Schizosaccharomyces pombe: one gene and its partner. Changing the gene in region 2 together with the main gene of any one other region gives a genetic interaction. Each region holds a gene or a part of one and is shown on either strand. Other genes may lie near its edges. The genes, in order: map3 and mam2.

What was found.
Region 1: of mam2 (region 2) and map3, changing one suppresses a phenotype caused by changing the other (phenotypic suppression), as found in Schizosaccharomyces pombe (one study listed by BioGRID).

What each region holds. Positions count from the first base shown.
Region 1 is NC_003424.3:2,826,958-2,836,563, forward strand, and holds map3 (pheromone M-factor receptor Map3), read right to left. Parts: upstream 8,032-9,606; coding exon 6,934-8,031; coding exon of another isoform or gene 6,639-6,933; 3' UTR 6,573-6,638; coding exon of another isoform or gene 6,469-6,572; 3' UTR 6,274-6,468; downstream 1-6,273. Other genes in the region: rit1 (initiator methionine tRNA 2'-O-ribosyl phosphate transferase), read right to left, coding at 90-1,392, 1,672-1,730; palmitoyltransferase complex subunit Erf4, read right to left, coding at 1,709-2,227; spd2 (ribonucleotide reductase (RNR) inhibitor family), read left to right, coding at 3,560-3,642, 3,842-3,849, 4,035-4,252; rRNA processing protein Faf1, read right to left, coding at 4,853-5,632; his6 (1-(5-phosphoribosyl)-5-[(5-phosphoribosylamino)methylideneamino] imidazole-4-carboxamide isomerase), read left to right, coding at 5,839-6,079, 6,142-6,212, 6,469-6,572, 6,639-7,017.
Region 2 is NC_003424.3:4,776,543-4,791,364, reverse strand, and holds mam2 (pheromone p-factor receptor Mam2), read right to left. Parts: upstream 10,678-14,822; coding exon 9,631-10,677; 3' UTR 9,443-9,630; downstream 1-9,442. Other genes in the region: phosphoenolpyruvate transmembrane transporter Pet1, read right to left, coding at 425-1,576; SPOM_SPAC22F8.03C (uncharacterized protein), read left to right, coding at 2,470-2,871; Golgi 4,6-pyruvylated galactose (PvGal) residue biosynthesis protein Pvg5, read left to right, coding at 5,085-6,203; ARP2/3 actin-organizing complex actin-related protein subunit Arp2, read right to left, coding at 7,088-8,212, 8,263-8,310; protein Fta6, read left to right, coding at 9,092-9,122, 9,170-9,318; SPOM_SPAC11H11.03C (uncharacterized protein), read left to right, coding at 11,116-11,124, 11,180-11,342, 11,698-11,842, 11,881-12,184; protein mug162, read left to right, coding at 12,936-13,111, 13,218-13,356, 13,409-13,828, 13,867-13,926; sst6 (ESCRT I complex subunit Vps23), read right to left, coding at 14,025-14,822. UniProt on the Schizosaccharomyces pombe protein: Receptor for the peptide pheromone P-factor, a mating factor of S.pombe. Pheromone signaling is essential for initiation of meiosis in S.pombe; P-factor signaling alone may be sufficient.

The DNA of each region.
Region 1 (9,606 bases), 1.9 Mb from region 2:
AATGTTGACATTGGGATTCGTTTAAGGAAACGATTCATGTTACGTTATTTTATTTACCGTAAACATTTTTGCCATTCCAAGTGCCACTACTAAGAAGTAGCAATAGTATTGGCACTAAGTAAAAGGGAATTGACGGCAAGAAGGAATGCTCGTGAGGGATTTGTTTTGGAGTGTAGTTCTGTAATTTTTACCAGAAATTGGCGAACCGTTTGCTTGGTAAGGTGAGACTGAGATGCAGATAGAGATATAGGATGGGCAAGTAAATGCATATGGAGGTCGTAGTATAAACAAAGAATCATCAATGCAAGACAAGAGGCGGCTTCTTTAGCATTTCCTTCATCGACAATAAATATAGCATCTCTCTCATAAAATGGAGGATCAAGTGAATTTAATTCTTGCAATATTGAAGGGAAATGCTTGCGAAACACCGGAGCACCTTTTTTTCCTGACGGTATTGGAAAACAAAGTTCATTCTTCACATTCAGGGTGGTATTCGACAAATTCAAAACAAAGTAAGATGTATTTTCTGGAGGGGGATAAAATCCCGTAACATCCCCAACAAATATAGGAGTTGGTAAAAGATGGGTTAACGAAGAATTTGACATGGTAGGTGAGTTTCTAGTTGAAGATAGTAGGAGGCTAATTTTTTGCTCCAATTGCTCCTCTGGGCATGTGAGGATAGATTCAGTATTTTGCCAAAAGACTTCAGGGGTCAGCCCATGCGACCATTCTTCTTCGTCATCTGCTGCTCCTTGAACGTAAAGAAATCCATGTTCTCGGGAGTACCCATTCTGTACTTGAGCACTTGCAGTAACCAGAACAACTGTAAAATATTCTTCAAATTGTGCAGATGTTAAACGACTAGCAGGTGTTACCCATAAAGGACGAATGGGTTTAGTTAGCTTAGCCGCCAACGCATCTAAGTCAATGCCGGACTGCATTAAAGAATCTACAAATCCATCTAGCCTCTGTAAAATAGATGATTTTTCTGTATCAGGTAAAAACGGGGGTAAAAAGGCCAAACGAGCATTAGGAAAGGAATGGGGACGAAGCCGTTCGAAAACACATTTATTGAGCGTAGCAATCCATATCGGAATCGTCTTTGATAGAGCATCGGGCATTCTCTTTCCACGACGAGTAGAATCTACTATAATCAATCCATCACAAGTGGTTATCTCATTTAGCAAATGCAAATTGAGACGACGACAGCTAAAAGACCATTGCCCGGTATGACCATCAGTACTTTTGAAATAAACAGAAATCGGAGCATGTCGTCGGTTGACATACCACGTACCGCATCGTTCATTTACAACAGGTTTAAATGTGGGGTACGAAGCTATAACTGAGTCGACAAACTTGGCATCGTGTGCAATTGACAGCAACCGATTCTTTCTTGAAATTAGTGTTAGCCAAATTTTCCATTCGATGACATACAAATAAAAGAAAAGCAAGGCAAAAAGGAAAAACAAGTAAAAATCAGCAAAAATATATATCAGTACGAAATCCAACAAATGGCGATTAGGCTAAAAATTTTTCATGAAAATTTAATAGCAGCTATCCATCGTTTTTTCTTACAATTTGCATTAATTGCTTGTGCGTTTATAAAGGTAGCAATCATTTTCTAAGTCTTTTGATTCTGCCAGCTTATTTGTATAGCAAATTGAGACTTACGGGTGTCTTGCTTGAACATGAATTTGTTGCACAGCGTCTAAAGGGTCGAATTCGTCCATTCGTTTGGCAGATCACTTCTGTGAGAACTAGAAGTTGAGATATTTGAAGTGGTGGCAGTCACGGCAGAGGGAAGTGTTCGTATAGAATGGTGCTCCGGGCAGTACGGATTGGAATGGAGAGTACTACTTTTCGAATTTGTTTCTTTTGTATGAAAAACGAGACTCAAAAACCCCATATTGCGAAGGCTGGCAACGTATAAATTATGTTGGGTTGCAAAGTCCAGGATGTACAAATCGATCGCCCCAATTCTTTTACGATGAATACTGCCAAATACGAACTCCGAGATATAAATCGTTAAAACAGATAGAATTCCATCTAATAGATTTCCAATTGACCATGGACAGAAGGCTTCTCTCAGTTTCTCGTTTAATGTGTGAATGAATACATCCCAATCCTCAAGATTCACATAAGCTCGAAGAGGTACAGGATAATCGGTTGGAAATTGAGGATATTTATCTCCTGAAACCGAATAATCCCTTTCAATGCGAACAAGCATCGAAAAAACCTACTGAAATGAAGCTTGGTGGATTCCCTAGCTCTAGGTTCAAGTGTACAATATTAGAAGACGGATTAGAGAATATGTATAATGAAACTGGGATTCGGTAGAGCACAAGAAAAAAAATAAATAAACAGGAAAGTTATAAGTTAAACAACGTTAAAAATGACTAAAAAATTATAAAACACTCATGAGTTCATCGATTGATCATATAACCGGAACTAAACAAACAAACGTATTAAATGTCAGAATTGAGTGATTAATTGAGTGAATAGCTGTAAAATGGGCAATGATAACTCATTTTAAAAAATCATTATGATTAATTGAGTGAGTTTCAGATTTGAAACAAAAACCACACAGTTTGTCACTAGGTAATTTGAACGGATTTATAGTGAAAATTAAGATTGATAAAAGGATGTGGTTTTAGTTGTTGAGGAATTGAAAATTAATAAAACGTATTGCTCGTTCAGGAAGAGGATAAAAGCTCTCTACAGGATATATTTCATCTACGATAAAAGTTACTTAGAATGAACTGGAAAAACTACTTGGGAAAATAAATGTAATAAAATATAAAAAATATTCGACTGTATATTATATGAGCATTGACTCATATTACTTTAGTCGTTAGATGAGATAAAACTTTGACAACGAATGCGGGCTTTTTTGAAGTCCTTGCTCAGTCCAAGAAGAGCGTCTTAAATCAAGTTCAATAAACTTTTTTAGCTGCAAGGGAAGTTAGGTTGCTTTAAAGTACTCAGCTATCTAAAACTCATTGTGCTTGCTATTAAGTTAAGCGTTAAAGATCCTATTAGGCTTAATATCGTCTGCGTTCTATACGACTTGAAGCTTACTCGCTTCTAAAAGGAATATTCGTTTAAATAAAAGAAACATGCTAAATATATATCTATAGATTCTTACAACCAACTTTTCTTATCCATTTATGCAAGTTGAATTCATGATTTGAAGAAATTCCAAGAAAGACGATTAAAAAAGAACCCTCCTTTACGAAGATGAAAATTTAGTTTCTCATGATACCCATAACATAACTGTTTAAAGGAAATATGTATCGCATTACACTGTTTTGTTTTTTTTTTCCATAGGTAAACAATAGAAAAAGTGTTACCTGTCTCGAGTCACAGAAAATTCGTATGATCTACAATCGCAACCCCAAACTACTTACCATCTACCACCTAATCATTGAAAATTAAAAGATTGCTCTGCGATTGGTAATTGCTAGCATTTGTGATTCACCACTCCGTCTTTACCTATATTTAACTATACTTTGTCAATTTCCCCCTGTTTGATACTTTTTAATTGTTTTACTTATCCAGGATGTCTGAAACGTTCAAGCTTCCCGATCATGACGAACTTCCCCAGCTAGTTCAAACTACTCTTTTTGATGTTGGAGCCAGAGTGTAAGTTTAATCCAATTTTTTACTTTTAAACGTTGAATTATCCAAAATGCTGATTGTTCTGCTATCTTTTTTTGTAAGAGACAGGGCTTAAAGGTCTAAGTACTTTTTTGAAAACTTATAATACAATTGTACTGCAGCACGGCATTTGATGATTTAACTCTTTTTTAGTCTTTTTGTATAATAACTAACAATCATTTAGTCGCAAAGGTACGTGAATCAAATTTAAAAAAAAAAAATGAGTGGATTTGTTTATTAATACCTTAATCAAAAATTTCTATAAAGCACTCTTTCTTCATGTTTATACTTTTAATGGAAAACTGTTTTTATAGAAACTACTTCCTTTCTACCTTTTTTCCTGTTTAGATGAAAGCAGTTTTTACTAACTTTAGCAGCTGTTCAAACTGGTTACAAATTTGACCAACAACTTTTCCCTTCTTACCACAAGGATCAAACTGATAGAAATGAGCTTCCTCAGCAAAAACATGATCCTAATCTTCGTCTCGATGATTTGAAGCAAGAATTGGCTGCTGATTCTATTTTCTGGGATACCGCCTCCACTCAAGAAATCGCCGATTCTTTTGCCAAGCCTGATTTTCTCAAGTCTCATTAAATGAATAAATGAGCAAGATAAAGCTTTCGATACTATTGGGTAATATGTATATTTTCAATAGCATAAATCTTTGTTATTGAGATGAACTATTACTCAAAACTATGAAATTGAATTGAAGATAAAGATTTACTTAATTTATTTCTTCGACTTTGCTTTCTAGTTTTTGCTTGCTTATTGTAGTATTGTTTACTCATGAATATGCGGACTCAGTACTAGTAAACTATACTTTTTAAATTATTTGTTTTGTGTTTCTTTTTTCTCGTCGCTCGCTCATCTGCTATAGTTTGTTCCTTTGAACATTTTCATAATAGTACCATTTTTATTTTCAAATTACGTTAAATGTGTTCAAATATTAAAAACTAAGTACCCTCTATGCAAAACCAAAATTCCTTGTCCGTATGCGTCTTACATTCACAAATATAATCAGCTTAAATGTTCCAGGTAAAAAAAAGGAAAATAAAACACCATTTGAATGTGTCGAAAGTTACTAAAAATCCAACTTCCATAGCTTCAGTATTTTTAAAGGTGGTATAAATAGTTAAGAAGAAAAAGTCATTATTTTTTTGTCACGAAAATCAAATTTTCCTCTTTTTTAAATTTTTATTTAGGTATCATGCTTTTTGGCAATAGTAAAGTACCGCCCACGAGCTTACCTGGCGCTGAGAAAGTAACAGGACGAAATCCCTTTTTGAACTGTTTTCTTTCTTTTCGTTTTTTTGCTAACACCGTACCACTCTCCCGGGCTTCGTTCTCAATTACTTTCTCTATATGTTTCTGTTTCTTCTTCATTCCTCTACGAGCAGCCATTGGCATTTTCTCGGTTTCCTTCTTACCGCCCAGTTGAGCAATGTGCTGCTGAACGACTTTGTGACGGATTTTTCCTTCAGCAACCAACTGAACTTGACCTGTCCTTGAGGTTGCCTCATGTAAAAGATGAGATTCTCGTAAAAGTTTTTGTAGTTCTAAATCGTTTTTTAGATTCTCGACTTCATCATCATCTGAACCATCATCATTTTGACGAGATCGTTTTCGCAATTTTTGTTCTTCTCTCTTCTTTGCTAGAATTTCTTCTTCATCTTCTAACTTGGGCATTTTTTTTAAAAAAGATACACGACCTACGGTCGCTGACAGAGTTGGCTTCTCAACTTCTTGATGGGAAACTCGTAGAATTTTGGACCCAAAAGACACATCTTCTTTATCCTCCATATCTGAAATAGCGTCTTCCTCCTCATTGCTGGTAGTTGGAGATTGTTCTTTTTCTGAAGCATCCGAATTGAAAGCAGTTTCAGAAGGCTTTGCTGAAACAGGTTGTAATCCTTCGATGTGTCCAAATTGATCTTCAAAATGCCTCTGTAAGGCTAATAAAGCATTCTCTGACATGTTTATTGTCAAAATTATAAAGAAGGTGATAGGAAGAATGAAATAAAAATTTATGGTGGAGTTTGTATTTGACAGCTTACTTCACTGGTGCTGTAACGTCTCAAAGTTGCTCACTTCAACTATTTTTTTATATAAGACATAGCAATTCTGTGATTGTTTCATTTCTTCTCTTTTTTGTTTTGCACGTTATTGGGAAATTTGAAGATATGGAAAAATCGCAGCACACTTTGTTTCGACCATGTATCGATATTCATCAAGGTCAAGTCAAACAAATTGTTGGAGGCACATTAGGAAATGACGCAGACGTGAAAACTAACTATGTATCATTAAAACCTAGCAGTTATTATGCTGAACTGTACAAATTGAATCACCTCGAAGGAGCACATGTTATTATGCTTGGGCCGAACTGCGAAGAAGCAGCTAAAACGGCTTTGCACACATGGCCTGGTATGTCGTGCATTTTTTTTTTGGATAAATAATTTTAATTATTTTACAACTTACAAATGAAGGTGCTCTTCAGATTGGTGGGGGGATTAATATTTCTAATGCACAAAACTGGCTACAAGAAGGTGCCTCAAAGGTAAATTTAAAATTAATTTACATGCTATGTTAAACGTTAATCTTCTTTTACATTAAGCAATCTCGGATGTGATTATTTGTATATTCATTTCTGAGTATGCAATATTGATTAAAAAATTGCAGCTAAAGCTGGTCATAAAAATACATGCTCATAAAAAGAGTTGTGTTCCAAAGGCATTAGTAAAGTTACAAAAAAAGAATGATGCGTAAAATGATTAACAATCAAATGAAAGTGTGAAGTTCCTAACTTTGTCTAGGTAATAGTAACTTCTTGGCTGTTCCCAGATGCCCAGTTTGATTTGGATAGACTGAAGGCTATATCTTCAAAAATTGGAAAAGACCGCTTGGTTGTGGATGTGAGGTAAGAAACCAATTCGCGAGCAAAGGAGGAAACTTCCAAGAGTATTATTAATAACAAAACTTACAGTTGTCGTCGAAAAGATAATAGGTGGTTCGCTGCCATCAATAAATGGCAAGTAATGACTGCTTTTGAACTAAATGAAGAAAACTTAGATTTACTGTCTCAGTATTGTTCGGAGTTTTTAATTCACGCTGCAGACGTTGAAGGTCTATGTAAGGGTATAGATGAGGACTTGGTAATTAAATTGGGAGAATGGGTCAAAATTCCTACCACTTACGCTGGAGGCGGTCGCAGTATAGAAGATTTGGATCTGGTAGATAAATTGAGTAAAGGAAAAGTTGATTTAACGATCGGAAGTGCTTTAGACATATTTGGCGGCGTCTTGGAGTTCACTCGAGTTGTCGCTTGGAATCGACGATTTACTCCATTGCCTCTCCAAGACTAAACATTTTTCCTTAAAATCAGTAGAATCCAAAGTCTTTCCTGCCATAGTTGATTCGATACTCTTACAGCAATCCAATTTGAATTGTGCATGACGACCCAACGCGGTATTTTTGGTAAAAGGAAGCCATACCAAAAGAGACCAAAGGATTAATGCAACCTTTTCTGTCCAACCACCACTTGTACTGAAAAACAAAGACATGAGGTAAAGAACGGTTGGAGGGACCCAGTCGTTTAGTCCAACCTTAGTTGTAGGATAATAGGTAATTGATTCCTGATGCCAGGCTTCTACTAGTTCATGGTTGAATGGTAAAAACTGCTGTAGTTTTCCATTAGCTACGACCATGAAAATGGTTAGTGGAAAATAACCGAGGAAAAATACAGCTGCCAAACATAGCAAGCGTAAGAATCGTTTTGAGGTTAGTTGAGAATCTCTCTGAAAAAATTGCTGCAGTTCTCTTTGTCGACGCCAGTAAAGCACGACGATTCGGGAAACGAAGAACAAGCCACCAAAAGACAACAGGCATGGAGGGATGTAAAAAAATAAAAGCGTGTACCACGTTTGGTAAAAAGAGCTGTAGCATCCATTCATGCATATTACCACATAACGGTTACTTTCCAAAGGAACCATCATTGCCATGATAATCAATGGCAGCAGGATGGATAAGCATACATGCCAAATCCAATTTTCATATCGTTTGAGAGGGTGGTCTCTGCGAATGACTGTATCAAGATACAGGACCAAAGTGAAGGCAGATGCAGGAATTCCAATACTTGAACATGTGACAATTCTAGATGTAATATCACACAATCCATAACCCATCCATCTAATTGTTTCTGCGTAGGGATTGCTCCAAATAGCAGACTCGACAACGTAGATGAGAGTTGTTAGGGTTAACCAAAATAAAAGCAAAAGGCAGGGAATGTTTCTCGCACGCAACTGCATGTATAAGATGGGGATAGACAAAACAAGGGCAAAGTAAGCATAAAATTGATAGAAAATCCCAATAGGCAACATGGTAAACTCAACGTATAAGTAACTAATAAATATGATATAAAAGAAAGTAAGATACAAAAATTAAATGGTACACAAAGACCTATATAGAATTTCAAAATATTAAAGAAGGTGAAAAAGAAAGCCGAAAGACGATGCGCAAACAAAAGAGTATAAATTCAGTGATGATGGTAGTCTTGATATTTGGATAGAGCAAAAATTGGAATTGTATATGCCAAGATTTTCCTAAGATTGCCAAAGTCGTGTACAATTTGAACTTCAATATTGTTCCAAAATAAAAGTAATAGACACGGAAAATGTATTATTTAAAAATACAGGACAGGAAACGAAAAGGTTAAAGCTATTGGAAACACCTTTGATCGCTCGCCAGATATCCCGCGCGAAGCTTGAAAACTTGAAAACAACTTGCGAAAACAGAGCACGGTTCGTAATTAAATGAGTAAGAAAAATTACTGTTGAGTATAGAACCTTGTTTGTATTTATTTGGCATATTGAAGAAGGGCAGTAGGCTCTTTATATACCTACCGTGAGAAGCCTCAGCATAGAGATCCATTTTCGGTCGGTCAAAGAGTTCAGCCCATTTGATTATCTAAAGCATAGTATTCCAATTTGAGGCATCAAAAGCGAATTCTTTATCTTTAATAAATCCATAGAATATCTTTTTGATGGGTAATCTGCGAAGTAAATACGTAAAGAAATTTTGGTGTTTAACGACTGTTTGACTTCATATATCGCGGTCGTTTATATTAATTGATGAGCGCATTGCAAAGAAAATTTCTTTTTAGATTTTGTACTCGTGAACAATTGTGCTGATGCGCTGAAGTTTTACTTTATAAATCGCAGCCTATATACGAGAGTTTGGTTTGAATTGCACTCGGTATATTATGGAATTGGTACACTAGCCGTTAGTCATATCTTCCTTTATATATAATTTATAAAAATACTCTTTCCTGTAATCTAATTCCATCCTTTACTTCTCTAAACCCGAAAACGAAATCAGTAAACATTAACGCGTACACATTTACGCGTAAGTCAATTCTTTCCAAATAGCTGGAGTATTGATCCAGATCAATTTTTTTTAACTGGTTTGTTTGTTAAAAATTTCAAGTAGAAAATAAAACAAGTTACTCACATTAACGAGCTTATATTTTGTTAACAATAGCACTAGGTAACTTCTTACACGTATTAGTACTGGTAATACTTATCCTATAAAGTTACGACTTAAATAGCGCTATTATTAAACAATATACTCAACCATGCTAACGAATAACTTGGGTATTTAATTAATTATAATTCTGCGAAGTAAAACATGTAAGCCATATTTGTATGTTTGTATTTCTTTTAGTACAAGAAAAGAAGAGAGCAATCAATGTTATATAAAATAAAAGCAATAAAATGTAAGAGCAATAAAAGTAAGCAATTCTCGTTGATCCGTGTGCAAGTTTTATATACCAATATGTTCATTATCTCAACCCAGAGAACCAACATGAGCAAGACAATAGCATCTGTTTTCCTCATCATTTATCAGAAAATGTTGCACGGCTATAACCTGATGCTGATGTTTCGTATATCACAATA
Region 2 (14,822 bases):
TACTTACTTGTTAGCTTTAATTTATTCTTCTTTTTTATATCAAAGACTAGTTGATGAAGTGCGTAACAACAAAAGCAGTCGGCGGAATACACGTGATACTCTTCACTACGTCGATGTTTAAGGAAAAAGAATGAAAAATATGAAAATAGTTGAATTTATTAAAAAAAAGAAGATGAAGGAAATAAGATGTATGAATGATGAACTGTAGATAAAGGAACCACATAATCATGCCTATTAATCTGGCACACAATCTTTAGAGAAAGCAACAAGACACACAATAGACGTTTTTATATGTAAAAAAAAAATAATAATTATTATAATAAGTCAGCGTCCCCGTTCAAGATGTTGAAAATTATAGCCCAATTAATGAATGAGCTCTCTCATAAATGACTTAATCGATACCACGCTGTTAGATCGTTTAAACCTATGCAGAAGCGACACGGCGCTCATGTTCTTTGGCAAGTGTGTAGAGAAGCGTACCTACCAAAATTAAAATTACTCCATAAATGCGATTTCCATACAGTGTTTCGCCCAAGAAGGCAACTGCTAGTAAAGTCTGCAGAATACTGCGAGCAGATACAGAAATCATGTAGGTGACGGGAGAAGTCACTTTTATTTGTGTAAAAGTAGCAATGTTTAAATAAAAGTTAGAAAGTGACGAAAGAATAAGTACGATAAAAAATTTGATAGCCTGCATACCGACAACCTCCTGGACTGTGTGGAGAAGTTCTAGGGACGCCACGGATAGCAACAAACAAAACACCGACATTAAAGCTGAAAAGATGTAGATCAAATCTAAGGTCGGGTACTCGTGAACGTAATGCTTGACGGCAACGGATTCGATGGCGGTAGTGAAGGAACTCCAAACACCCAGTATAATTCCTATGGGGGCAACATGGCTCTCAAAACGTACACCAAAGCCAAAGCCAAGCATTACAAGTAAACAACCGCCAAAGGGAAATAAGCGAGTTTTTTGCTTCAACAATACAAATGAAAGGAGAATTGTAAAGGGTAGCAACAAACCTCTGGAAATTTGGTAAAATGAGACAGGTACAAAAGCCAAGCAATAGGTCTTACTAACGATGCCAAGAATCTTGACAAAGATAAACTTTTTAAGTTGAATTGCAGAAGCTAATCTTAGGGTTTGAAAATGAACGGAGGAGAATCGCCAATACATCTTTACCATGAGAGATGTGAATGCCATTTGAAACGACAACATCAGAAGTGGTGCGTTGATGATATTGAGAGCTTGCTTGTTGAGAATGGTAACTAGGATAGCGAAAACGATTTGGGAGGAAACCGCAAAAAATATGGTCAGTCGTGAAACAGGAGCATTTTCCGAGTCGGGCTCTTTTGCATTGGCCTCGAGAACACTCATCTCCTCCAACTTCCTGGTTGATATACCATCCTCAATATCTTTCGACAAGGGATCATCCGACTTGGAAAAATACAAGGAAGATTTGCCAGTGGAGTCGGTTTCCATAGAGTCCAACGCCGTTTGGCTATCAATGTGGTCTAAAGGATCTTCATCCTTTAAAGGAGAGTAATGCGCATTGACGGTTAGCTTGGAACTCATTTTAGTTAAATCGTTATGCTTTTTTATTGAAGAAAGTATTAGAGGCGTGAAGAAGAATTAAAACAATAAAATTTCATAAACAACCAAACAAAAAGATACTTCTACTCTGCCCAGAAGAGTCGGCTAGATGACAAGTATGCAATGAGGAGCGGCGGCTTAAAAAAATGAACGACCTTTTGCACCACTTTTCCAACGTGATTCACGTTAGTACCGATACAATACAAAGGGGAGATATTAACGAACAAATAACAAAAGACAGAAGACGCAAACGAATTTCACCAACACAGTAATAAGTTACACGTTTGCTTCCAACTGCACAGTATTAAGAATACGATGTGGTAGGAAAAATGTAAGCCTAGGAAGCACTTGGGAGGCGTTTTTACACGAGAACGCGAAGCTGCTTATAAGGAGGATGCAAGTCACAAAATTGAAGGTATTTTTTATAAGGGAATTAGACGAGACGGCCTTGAGGTGACAGCTTCAAGAAAAGCACATACGCCTTGATAAGAGGGGGTTGAGTCTTGTTTGTTAGAAGGGAGAGAAGTAGTAATATTGAATGTCGATGAGCCAGAGGAAGGGGAGAGAAAAGCGAAAAGGGTGCTGGTGGAAAGGAAGAAAGCAAAGAGGTAGGCACAATAAAGTGACCAAATAATAAAAAAAAGAAAAGAACAAAAAAAAAGTAAGTGAAATATGAAGGAACGAAAAATAATTAGGAAGAATAATTTAAGAATTTCATAAATTAATTTACCGGGCGCTTGGAAATATATTTTGTTTATACAACTACAAATTTGGTTGTTAGTTACTTTTCACATTTGGCTTTCTCATGCTGTACAAGACATGAATGCATCTTTTTCTCCATCTGTAGTTTATTTTTATTTAAATTGATTTTATTTATGTCTACAGTGTTAATCCCAACCTTTGTCCCTTATGGAAAGAATCTTCTAAACACTTCTTTCTCTTTCAGTAGTTTATTGTGCATTCTATGCTTCTACAAAGATGGTCCCCTTCTTTTTCTTTATTCCCCTCTTTCTGCTAGCTACTATTGTTTACTCTATGCTTCCTACACTTGGAACTTTGTTCTATCAGATGAAGCTTATTTTCAAGCTGCTCCTGGTCGTAGTGTACGCTTTGCTGTTTTGTGCTTGAAACCAATGGCCACGAAAAAGGCCAACAAAATGCACGTTTTCATGCAAGCAGCTTGCTTTCACTTCCGAATAGCAACTATGACGGTTATAGGTAACATGGCGCGGTCAGATCATGATACTGCGCTTAATTGCGTCAAGCGGATCAATTGAGATAGCTGATCTATCGATCGAGAGCATTCATGCATTGGTCTATTTGAAAAATGTGGGGCTAATTCAAAGTTAGAGGGGTCACAACGTTCAATCCCGTATTTATCAGGGATAAACAATCAGATTACGCCTGTAAGGAAACAACATCGCAAAAAATACACTAACAAACAAAGCAAATGTAGGAGGTGTGTGAAACCGGACAAGAAAGCAATAAACTAGACGTTTTAACTACCTTCTCAGCATCTCATGAGTTAGCTTGACTTATCTTTAACAGCGAGTATTTTTTATTTTTTTATTTTTTTTTAACCTATGCCATTTCATTTTTATACGAAACATTCAATTTTACCCTTCCACGTGACCTTCCTTTCTTTTTCCCGTCTCCTTATAGCTCTTGTTTTAAATCCCCTCCATCGTACCTCCCTAATTAACAGAGCGACTGGAGGCAGCCCTGCAGTTGCTACGACTCCGAAATTTCGAATGCCTTACTTGTGTAAATCCCATCCCCCACATAGGGCTTTTTTGTCAATCTTCGTCTTGAGAGCACGTTTCCTAGACTAAGACTTGATTTTCTTTTTGAAAACCCCAGCAGGCCTACGTGGGGGAAGTGACTTACGACTTGATTCCTTTTGGAGATACCCCAGCAGTACTGAATGGGGGTCACTCCAAGCCATATTCCATTCTGCAAATACGGACGGTGTTCGTTTTGAACATTTACTAATCAGCGTTTCGGTAAATACTGGCCAAATTACCCCTAGCTAACATGTTGCTTGAGTAGTATTGACGAAAACGTTATCGTACGAAGTTTGCTTGACTCATAACTACGGAACAACCAATCATACATTATCATAAACTTTAAACAATGATTTAGTCATGGGAAACCAAAGATGAAAACATTTGAACGAAGAGGATTTGCTTCTTATTTCAAACCGGCACATAGCATATAATCCGCGTTTCAGCAGGCATCCGTAACTTTCCTTTTACTCTATTTCTTTTCTTCTTTCCCTCTGCTTGTCAAATCTACTGTTCAGCTAACTTTTCATTTTCGCTGTTGGTTGCGCTATTTTTAAAGAACAAACGCGAGTTTCTTCACGTATAGCTTTTTCTTTTATATTATTGTCGATTCATTAGTTTAAAAAGCGCGTCCTCGTGTTTAAACAAGATTGTCCTTTATTTTTCTCTCTCTCCCTTTTTCCGTCTTTGCGTGTCTCTCTTTCTATTTTTTTCGCTTCATTCTTTCTTTCTCTTGTGTACGCACGCGTTCAAATTTCTTTTTCTTTTTGTTCGTACCTTCTCACTTTCACTGTTTAATCTGCACCTCCTTTCTTCTTTCTCTTTGCATTTGCTTCCTAAATCTTTAAATATCAGATTGAAAAAGTCTCGTTACCACTCATTAAGCTCCTTTGCATCCTTGTTTTTCGTTACTTTAAGGTTAGATTGTGCGTTACTTCTCTTTCCAGCCTTAGTCCTTGATTGCCGCATACTTTGGTCATACCAGTGAATTCAAACTCATCCTCTGTACATCAACCCTCCCATATATTGTATAGAATATTGGGAAAAGATTTAACGGTCAAGGGAACTATAAAATTTGGTCAAGTCTTTTTTTAACTACTCATTTCGCATCTTCCAAGTATAAATGCTCTGAGCCCCACTCTTCAAATTTTCTTCCTAGCCTGTCGTGATTTCGTGAGACCGAAGTCCGATTAAAACTCAACAAAGTAAGGTATTTCTTATATATTTTCTCTACTGAAAATTCGTCTTTTTTCGTTAATCATCTTCTTAATTTAATTTTTTTTTTCTTCATTTGCCGTTGCTTTTTTTACTCCCACGGCTCATAATACAAATAAAAGGAAATCTTCTAACTTTCTAATTTCTCTCGTTTAATTTTTGTTTTGGTTAGACATTTGCTACTTTCATTCGTTCCTTCTTCTTCCTGCCCAGAGAAGTCATTGGTATCATCTTTACACTTTTATATGGTTTCCCCCTTTGACTCATTTTCTTATCCTCGTTTCCGTTTGTGTGTCGATTATTTGTATTGAAGGGTTTTAAAAAAATTTTTTCCTCTTTATTTAGTTTTCACACTGGTTCCAAAACTGTTATCACACTTGTTAAAATAGAATAGTGAGTATCGGTTCAAGAATACTTGGTTTTTTCTTCTTTTCTTTCTTTTAATTCATATTTGATTTTTCTTATTCTGTTTATGCTCACATCCAATTGATATGGGCCTTCCATTACGGATTTTTGCTGGTAATGGTATCGGCGGATGGTGTCTTCGACTATTCTTATTTGGAAGCCTCATTCTTCTACTTCGTCCTTTAATCTTCTATTCGAACACTACTATGAAAAAGCTGAAAACCGAATATCCTATTTATCATCGTCATTTGTCAGCTTTAAAACGTAATTTTTATTACACCATGGATGCTCAGTTAGGAGGTATTCGCAATGTTGTTTTGATCAACCGCCCATGCTTTGCCGCCTCTGATAATTTTCTTACTTTAATGGGCCAAAACTGGTACTTGAAAGAACGTAATATTAATGTCCTTTCTGATATATGTTTTCCCCTTTCTAATAATGCTCACGATTCTCTTCCAACTTTTAATAATGGCAGCGACTTATTTAATCCTTTGTACTTTGCAGTTTTGAATGCTGCCACTCCTGCAAGGTTCACATTTCATCTGTTTAATCATGTCATGGACTCTGTTGTTCCTTTTGACGAGGCTAAAAAGTTCAAAGTTCGTTCTTTCCCCATCAATTATGCTGAATATGCCGACGATGAATGTCAACTTGCACTCAAAAAGATTCGACCAATTCCGGATAAGTACCTTGTCTCCACTCGGGTATTATCGGATTCACGATATCTTGAGTTAAGTGGTGCAGTTGTCGCCTTTGCCCCTGATGCGTCTTCTTCTTTGCTATTTGAATTAGCAGATATTAAGCAGCATAAAAAAACTTCAGCTGATATACTGATATTTCTATCCAAAGATCACAATTTGCCTGTTTCATTTTATGATAATTATAAACTTAAATATACATTGCACTTTTGGCAGCCTCCATCTTTTCCCGATTCCTCTACTATCGACGATCAAGCCAAACTTTTATTTGACTACGTGGTGTCCCAAGTTGTGAAGTACCCATATTTTGTAACTGATATTTATCAGATACATTTACTTGGCGTTTATCTTAACTTGAAGCATGTTTATTTACTCGAAAACGATGACGTGGAAGATGCTTATTATGAACGACAGTGGATGCAGGCGTTCCAGCGGAAAAATGTTGTTGCTGTAGCTGAGGAACTTCAAACAGCTCTTCGAATAATTGAACAATGGAAGCAACTTTAAATTACTTCTTCTGGATTCTTCTCTTATTTACTCCAGTCGTTTCTCCTTTTTTATTCTTTGCTTTTGTTCTTTGTTTTTATATTTTCATTTTCATTACTGTTGTTCTATGTTGTTCATTTTTTATTCACATATTTTCGGTTTCACGTTGTTTTTCATCTGTCGGTTTCACGAGGCATTTTGTCTTCGTAAACTACACTTTTATATTTGTTCTTATTTATTTAAGGTTGTTTCAATGTTCCGTCGTTTTGTTTCCTAATGAATTCCTCTTACACCGTTATGAGAAATTTCAGTCGATTTGTGCGGCAATTTCTACTCCTCTTATGCTGTCGTGCTTAATTAAGAGCATTAATTTTTCTAGGCTGTCTTGGACACATTATTAATGGTTTATATATACAATTTAACAAAAAAATTAGGTCGGTAATTTATTTATTTACAATAATAGAAATTCCTGCTTTTAAATGTTACTCATGTTTTCCGTGGATGTCAATCTTCAGAAAACTAGAAGCTCAGAATGTCAAGCTATTTTTGTTAAAACTAGGACCTAATAAGAAAACGCCCTAAATGGGCGAAACCAAATATATACGTCACGGGAGTCTAGTCATTAAGTCTGTTGCTATTGAAGTGTACTAGTGCATATTGAGTAAATAAGATCGTTGGTTACAAAAAGGTTGTATAAACATCAAGCATAAGTAAATAGCCCATCAAAAGAAAAAGGAATCAAAAAGGCAAATAAAAGAAGGAATCGTACCGTCTTTTAACGATGGTCGGATTAAACAGAAAACGTAATCATTTAGCAAAGTTTGAAATTTATGAATCAAACTTCGTATAACTCAATTTACTAGCACATAAAAAGAAAGAAACAGAACATTAAACATAAATATACTCTAAGTAGTTCTAGGACCCAATTTGTCTAGTGCACGTACTCCATACTCCTCCCATTCTGCCTTGGACACCCACATGTGATCGTTTTGAGCCATGATATCTGCCAATACGGCGCCGCCGATAAACACGGCATGACGGCGACGAGGAGCGTCTTCAATCTTAACCTTAAAGTTAGGCAAACGTGCGGGATCTCCATGAAGAACACGCTCAAACCATAACTGTTTTATTTCCTTTTCAAGACGTGAAGGAAGACCGGCATACATACTGCTACCACCTGAGAGAACAATGGCGCGATACAAATACTTGCGAATGTCCACATCAGCTGCTTGGATAGTGTCAAAAATAAATTCACTCAAACCTGGTTGTTCACTACCAACCAGATGAGGTTGAAATAGACATTCTGGACATTCATAACGCTCAGAACCAACTTTAATAACTCTTCCATCAGGAAGGGTGTAATTACGCATTAAAACGGTAGTTTCTTCGCTAAGCTTATGGTCCAATTCCAAATCATAACTAACGTAACAAAGTTTTTCTTTCATCTCGCGAACAGTTTCAAAGTCTGCTGTACGATTGAAAGCATAACCCTTACGAAGAAGTAAGCTAATCAAATAGCGGGTAGCATCCCTACCGGCAACGTCAAGGCGACCAACTAAATGATTTAAAACAACACTTTCATAGACAGGCACAATATGGGTTACACCGTCACCAGAATCAACAACTACACCACTGCTTAATCCCTGTGCGTATAAAGAGAGAACGGCCTGAATGGCGACATAAACACCACCAAAACCATACCGTTCAAACATTGTCTCACACATTTTTTCGCGGTTAGCAACAGGATTCATAGGGGGCTCGGTCAACAAAATTTTCCTACCCCTCGGATCAATTTTTAGTTTTTCAAAGAAAGTGTAATCCCAAAGTTGATTCATCTCTTCAAAATCACGGATAATGCCATTTTCCATGGGATATTTTACTTGAAGTAAAGATCTCACCGCCTCAGCTTCATCACCGACCATAACATCTTTAATTTGAACATTTCCTGTTTTCTCTTCAGCACGTAAAATGGGCCTTCCTACGATGGATGGGAATTGAAAGCGCGGAAAATTGTCTTTAGCATATCCGACCTTGCTAACGTTAGTCACAGTGTAAACAAAGATTTAATTAAACTGATTACCTTCACAAAACCAGTTCCATTATCTAGAACAATGGGAGCAGACTCCATTTTATAAACGTCTCGTGTAGTTGGTGAAAGGTTAGTTCTTAAGTCCACCCCTATGTAATGTACCGGCGGTAACTATCTGCCATATACCGTATGACACAGCAGCACTGCAACTGTAGCAGAGCATTCGGTGATATATCGTAAATATGTAATATCGTAGGAAAGCGAAGTGCAGTAATCTTGAGAATTATAAAACAGAAATGAAGTATCTAAATTAATTTAACAATTGGCTGCAAAAAGAATAGCTCAAAGGTTTTTACGGTTAATGATCTTATCTTCTATTGTACTTAGCATTAGTATCGTTACCCCTTATACTCAAAGCCATAACTGTGCATTTATAATTGTTCGGCAGTAATGTATATTATCGCTTATTAGTTAAAAGATTCTTCGTTTCACATAGTATTACTATTATTTAAAAGAAAAACACGGACTCTATTTGTTTGTTTAATGTGCAGGTAACACTTCGATCGTTTATTATGAGATTGGTATGACTAGGAGCGCTGTGCAAAAATGAAGAATCGCGGAACCGATTTAATAAAGAATTTATTTCTCTAGTAACTAGATGTGTGCATTAAATTGAATACAAGACTTAAACAAAAGAATTATAATTATCGACATATACCATTATTGAATATTTGTCATCTGTTTACTGAAATAAGTGGAGCAATGCAATTTGAGAATAACACATATCGGTTTAAAGATCCTTATTATATTGCTATTACTAAATTAAGGAGTGTAACGTTTCGCAGCTAAAACATTTCGATACAATATTTGATAAAAATAAATGGAGGATAAATACATTTTATTGTCAGCAGGTTGGTTATAATTTTTATTTAATAGCTCAATACTTACGTGTATATAGTGGAAACGTTTAAATCACGTCTGGAAGAACTGCTAATGCAATCGGCCAAAGTACAAAAGCAAACGATGCTTAGAAAGGAATTAGCTTCTTCGATGAATGATATGGCTTCTACGGTACAAGAAGCTTTAAATAAAAAAAAAAGTTCGTAAGGTAAGCACTTGGAGACTCAAAACATTATAGTTCATTATAGATTACGAAGGCAGTTCATTCACTATTGTTTTAATAAGTGTTTGTGAAGTACGACTTGAAGTTTTCATGATAATAAGTTATTATAATCATATAATTTCATTGATGTTTATAGTAAACAATTGTTCATGAAGCGAAAAAAAAAAAACCATTAGAAAACTTCCCTCTGAGCAAATTATGATTACAAGCCTATCGTAAAAAAACCGTCTATGTTATTTGGGACTGTTATTGAGCCAGTATTAGGAATTATCAAAAAAGATACATTCAGGCGTAAGTTACGTCCACTTTTTAGTTTCAGATTCATCAGAAATCGAATAATCGTCACTGGGAGTATGTTTGATATCAAACGTTCTATCAACTCTAATCGAAACCTCGGTGGTTTCTCCTTGCGCAGATGAAGTTTTCATGCTTTGCAATTTCAGAGCTGTACTAGACGCCCATAAACTCGAAAGAGGAAGAGAAATGATTAGCAGACATTGAGTCATAGAGCTAAAGCCATCATACGTATGGATAAAACTATCTATTATAGTAAAGGTAGCTGGAACAATAAGACATTGGCAGCTAATAACTAAAATACACTGCATCGGACCAAATGGAAATTGCCCAATTTTTTTCCGTATTAATATGGCACGAAAGAGTTTGTATGAAAAAACACCACTGTGAAAAATAATGCTAAAAGCAAAAAGTATTTTAGCAATAAAGTAGGGCCAAGAGTATCCAACAATGGTCTTGCTGCTAAGTGGAGTTAACCATAACAGATACTGAATCTGTTGACACATGTTAGTAATCCAAAATGCGAGAACCAAAACAGTTAAGCAGGCACTAATAACAGTCATTATCCTTTGTGTCTTTCTATCATGTGCACAAATTATACGAACTTGAATCATCATGCTCATCTCAGCAGTAAAAATGATGACCGGTGCAAGCAACAAAATTAAAATATTAAACACATGGACATACATATGAACCATGTTTAAGATAAACCCGTAATTAACCAGGATACTGTAGCTATTGCTGCATATGGTCACTATATTCAAAATGGCCCGAAGACACATTGCAACAATACTTGCCGAATTAAAAACAAAAACTGGGTGTTTTCGTTTTTCGGATGATGACAATAGACAAACCATCAAAATGGTAAGGACTCCTAAAGCAAGTTGGGCAGACAAAGTCATTCCAGTTAAAAGTCTATCTCTTTCATATGCATCAATTGTTGAAACTGGCACTTCAATCTCTCCTACAATAGAGACAATGGTAATATTTTGGTGAATAATTGCGGATGCATCGGGAATAGTAAAGTCTTTCCACCATGGTTGTCTCATAATGTCAGAGGGAGCAAGAACAATATAAACCCGAGATTTTTTTAGTTTAAGAAGTTTAAAAATGTGATTTGTAAAGCACTTGATGACTCAGTTTCCCAATGAACTGTTATGCCAATAATTCCTCTTTGTTTAGAATTTCCAGAAAACACTTCTATGTCTCAAAAGTTAAATTTTCGCTTGAAGATATACAGCAAATTTCCAAATATATGGACTCAAAACACACCAATGGAATGCTGTTCGAACAATTGCAAAATTGTAGTTTAAACAGATTCGAAACAAAAAACAAAAGGATTTACTATTGTTTAGACAGTTCTTAAAAATTATTTTTCATCTTTGTCAGAGATCTAGCTGAATTATATAACATTTTTTGTGGTACTCCATTGTTCAGATTTCCTATTGTTAACTTCATTGTCTAGTACCACACCTGAAACAATAGAAATGGAGGAGGTAATTATTAATCAAAGAGATAAGGAGAAATTAGGTGTAACTAACTTTATTGAAGTATGAAAAGTTTAGAGCGTTGGCGTCAAAAGAGGCTGAAAAACGAGGGTATTTATTTCAAGAAGCTCAGCATGCCTATTCAGCAGGAAACAAGGCTAAAGCGCATGAACTAAGCCAAGAAGGAAAGTTATGTGGAGAGCGTATGGAAAATTATAATCGACAAGGTAATCTCAAATTCTCATTAAAAGCTGTGATTGTTAGTTCAAACCCTATAAACTTTCAATAATAGAAAAACAAACCCATCATGAGATTTTTCTTTCTTTCTTTTCCACTCTTTTTGTTTGGTATCTAATTCCGGTAGTTATCGGTCAGACAATACGCCAAACAATAGTAGTTATGACAATGAACTATTCTTTGTACAAAGTGAAGAGCTCTGAAACAGCTGAATAAAGCCATGTGATTTAAGAGAAAAATGGGTTGGCTTCTTTATAGAACTTAAAACACTGGGTTTCTTCAAACCCATATTGGCTTCGAGAAAACAAAATAGAAGTGTTTTATGACTGTGCTAATTATTGATAGCGGCTTCAGCCATTTATTTATATAAAAACTCTCAATGCAATCCCGATGAAATTGATTTACATGGTCTGTACATCGATGAAGCTGTACAAGCAGTACAACAGCGAATTGAGAATTGCATCCGACGTGGTGACAATCATTTACATATGTATGTTTTACGCTTAATTAAAATTAACTCTTTTTTAGTATAGTTGGGCGCGGTAATCACAGTGCTAATCATGTGGAAAAACTACGACCTGCAATTGTGCGAATGCTTGAGCAGCAATCTATAAAATACAACAGTGAAGTAAATGAAGGCCGCATTTATGTTTATTTACCATCTGCGACTTCACCTATTCAACCAAATTTCAATTGCATTCAAGAACCTCAAGAAGCATATTCTCGTCCTCAACATTCAACTTTGACTGATCAAGTTGAGCCTGAAAAAATTGTTGAAGAAATTGCTACGAATTGTTTTCCTCGTCTAAAAACATGTTGTGCCATCATGTAACAGTTTGTTTTTTGCTTGTTAACACAGGCGACCATGGATACCAAATTGGGTCAACAAAATTTTAGGCGGTGAAATTATTAGCCAGGTGTCTGTGTATTAATCTTTTATTTCGATTCGGTCATTATTGTATTTATTGGGTAATTTAGGCTCTAGATTTTTTTGCTTGTTGCAACCTTAGGATTTTTTTTTTATTTCAAATAAATATTGAAACTTTTTTTAATAGATTATTTTATAGGAATATTTTTTTAATAGGTTTTCTCTGCTTTTTGTAAAAAATTCATTTTTATTATTATTTTAAAGATAATAAATCTAGCATTATATTGCCTACTAAAAGTTTTGTATAATTTAATTTATTTAAATTTTGTTTATTGTTGTTCATTAATTTTAACAACTGATTATATCAATTTCATTAAACGGTTACATAAATTTGAAAATTGTTTACACATAATAATAATAATAAATTTAGGTTCGATAAAATTTCGTAAACAATGACTAGTACATTCAACTGAATTATATATATATATATTTTTTTTTATTATTCTTTAAGCTGATAGAGAGGGTAGTACTAATCGTAAATAGTCAGTACCTCTACTGTACGTAAGCTCGCAATTCTTTGCTCGAATTATTTACCACAAAATTGCCTTGCCTTGACATATATTAAATACAGCTACAATTTTCAAGCTTATTTGCTGAAAATAATTGTCGAATGAATATATTTTAATTTGACAATATTTAAATTGCTTCCGCAATCATGGATGATGAAGTCTATAAACAAAGACTCACAGCTTTGAATAATTTGCGTATTGTCATTTTCTTCGATATTCTTATTATATTGTTAGGCTACATAGGAACTTGGAACTTAAAAACTTTACAATTAGTAAATCCTAGCTTATGGTCATTTTCTCCATCTCTATGGATATACATTAGGTATCTTATTTTATGTCGGAAGGAATTTCTTTCTTCCGGCGTATTTTTTAACTAATTGAGATTCATGAGAATCTTAACATGAAGAAGTTCTAACTATTTCAATCAGGGGAACAGTTCTTTGTGCAGATTGCATATTTACAGCGGGTTCGGCAAACGAATACTCTGCCGTTCAAAATTCTGTGTTCCAAGTTTCCAGCCTTATGTTTTATGGCTTGATGATGGAATTTTTTGGGTATTCTTTTGATGTATGTATTTATTTATTAAATTTTCTGGAGAATTCTTAATTAATGATTGTAGAGAGTTGGTTGCATGGAACTCGCTTTCATAAGCTTTTCCGCTGCTTGCTATTTTAATATAAGGTCAATTAAATCTCTATCTTTAAAAAATAAAAATTGGACAATAATCAGCATAATTGAAATTCCTATCAAACTGCACTTCATACTTAATGTTCTGCTGTTTCTTAAGTTTTCTGAATACATGCTTCCTTTACTTGGCAGAGTACATTTGTCCTATCATTTATTTGCATTATGGGTTATTAATTTGTATATTTGGATTAAGTTGATTGACTCCAAGGATTTTGTACTAGGATTTCTTGCAGGATTATCCGTACTTCTTTTAAATACGGGTTCATTAATTACAGCAAAACCACTTATTTCTTACTTCAATTTATTAACTTCCTGTTTAATTATTTTCCCTAGTATATGGATTTATGCAATTGTAAGCAAAAATTATGTTATCCAATCTAACCTTTCTAGGAAAAGAAAAATTTTAAAAACCTAAGTTATGAGGACGATGATTATCGAAATTACTGGTAATGGAGATATTTTTTACAAAAAAATAAATAAAAGAATAATATTTATCTTGTCCATATATTCCTAAAAATGTCGACACTGAAATTCACATCACTATAATCTTAAGAGTATTGAAGCATTTCGTCCCGTATTAAAAATTGTTGTCTAGCTAACAGCTTTATTCCCTTTAACCAAGATGCGGGCATGATTGATTCATGATGCAAGGCCTGATTCAGGGCTCGAATTCCTTCATCCAGTTTTTCGTCCTTACGTTTAAGTTCATAATATTTTAGTTCTCGTTCGGAGGGTATTATAAATAGTTCTTGAACAGATAAGTCTTTTAAATTGTCCAACTTCTGTAGGGCTTCTCTGGCTTTTCTCCTTCTTTTTCCTAAGATGAATCTATTGTTTTCAATATTTTTAGCAAGTGTTTCTAAAGCGTGTCTTTCTTGATCCAAAAGCCTTTGCTTAACCTCTAAGTTTTTAGATATTCGTATTTGTGAAATCCATTTTTCTTCAATAATTTTGTTCTGTTTATGTAGAATTTGCTGAATTTTCACAGGGTCAACATTGGGCTTAAAGTCTTCTGAATACAGTAGCTCAGACGAACCTTTTAAAGGGGTTTCAATATCTGTATCTATAAGGTTGAGCAAACTTTGGGACTCAATTTTTTTTCCTGTCGAGAACACTGAAACTTGTTGAACGATCTGACCTTTAGAAACTTTGGGTTTTTGCGGTAACAGAGCAGGCTTTGAATATTTGTCTTTAAGTGAAGGCGTGTCTTTGGTAATTATTATCTCATTTTGTTCAGGTTTTGGTGGAATAGGTTTTTGGGCAGGAATGTTAGAACTTGGTCGCCTCAATGAAACAGAATCGTGAACAAGCTGTTGTGATGTAGCTGAAAAAGGTGCTGTATTCAG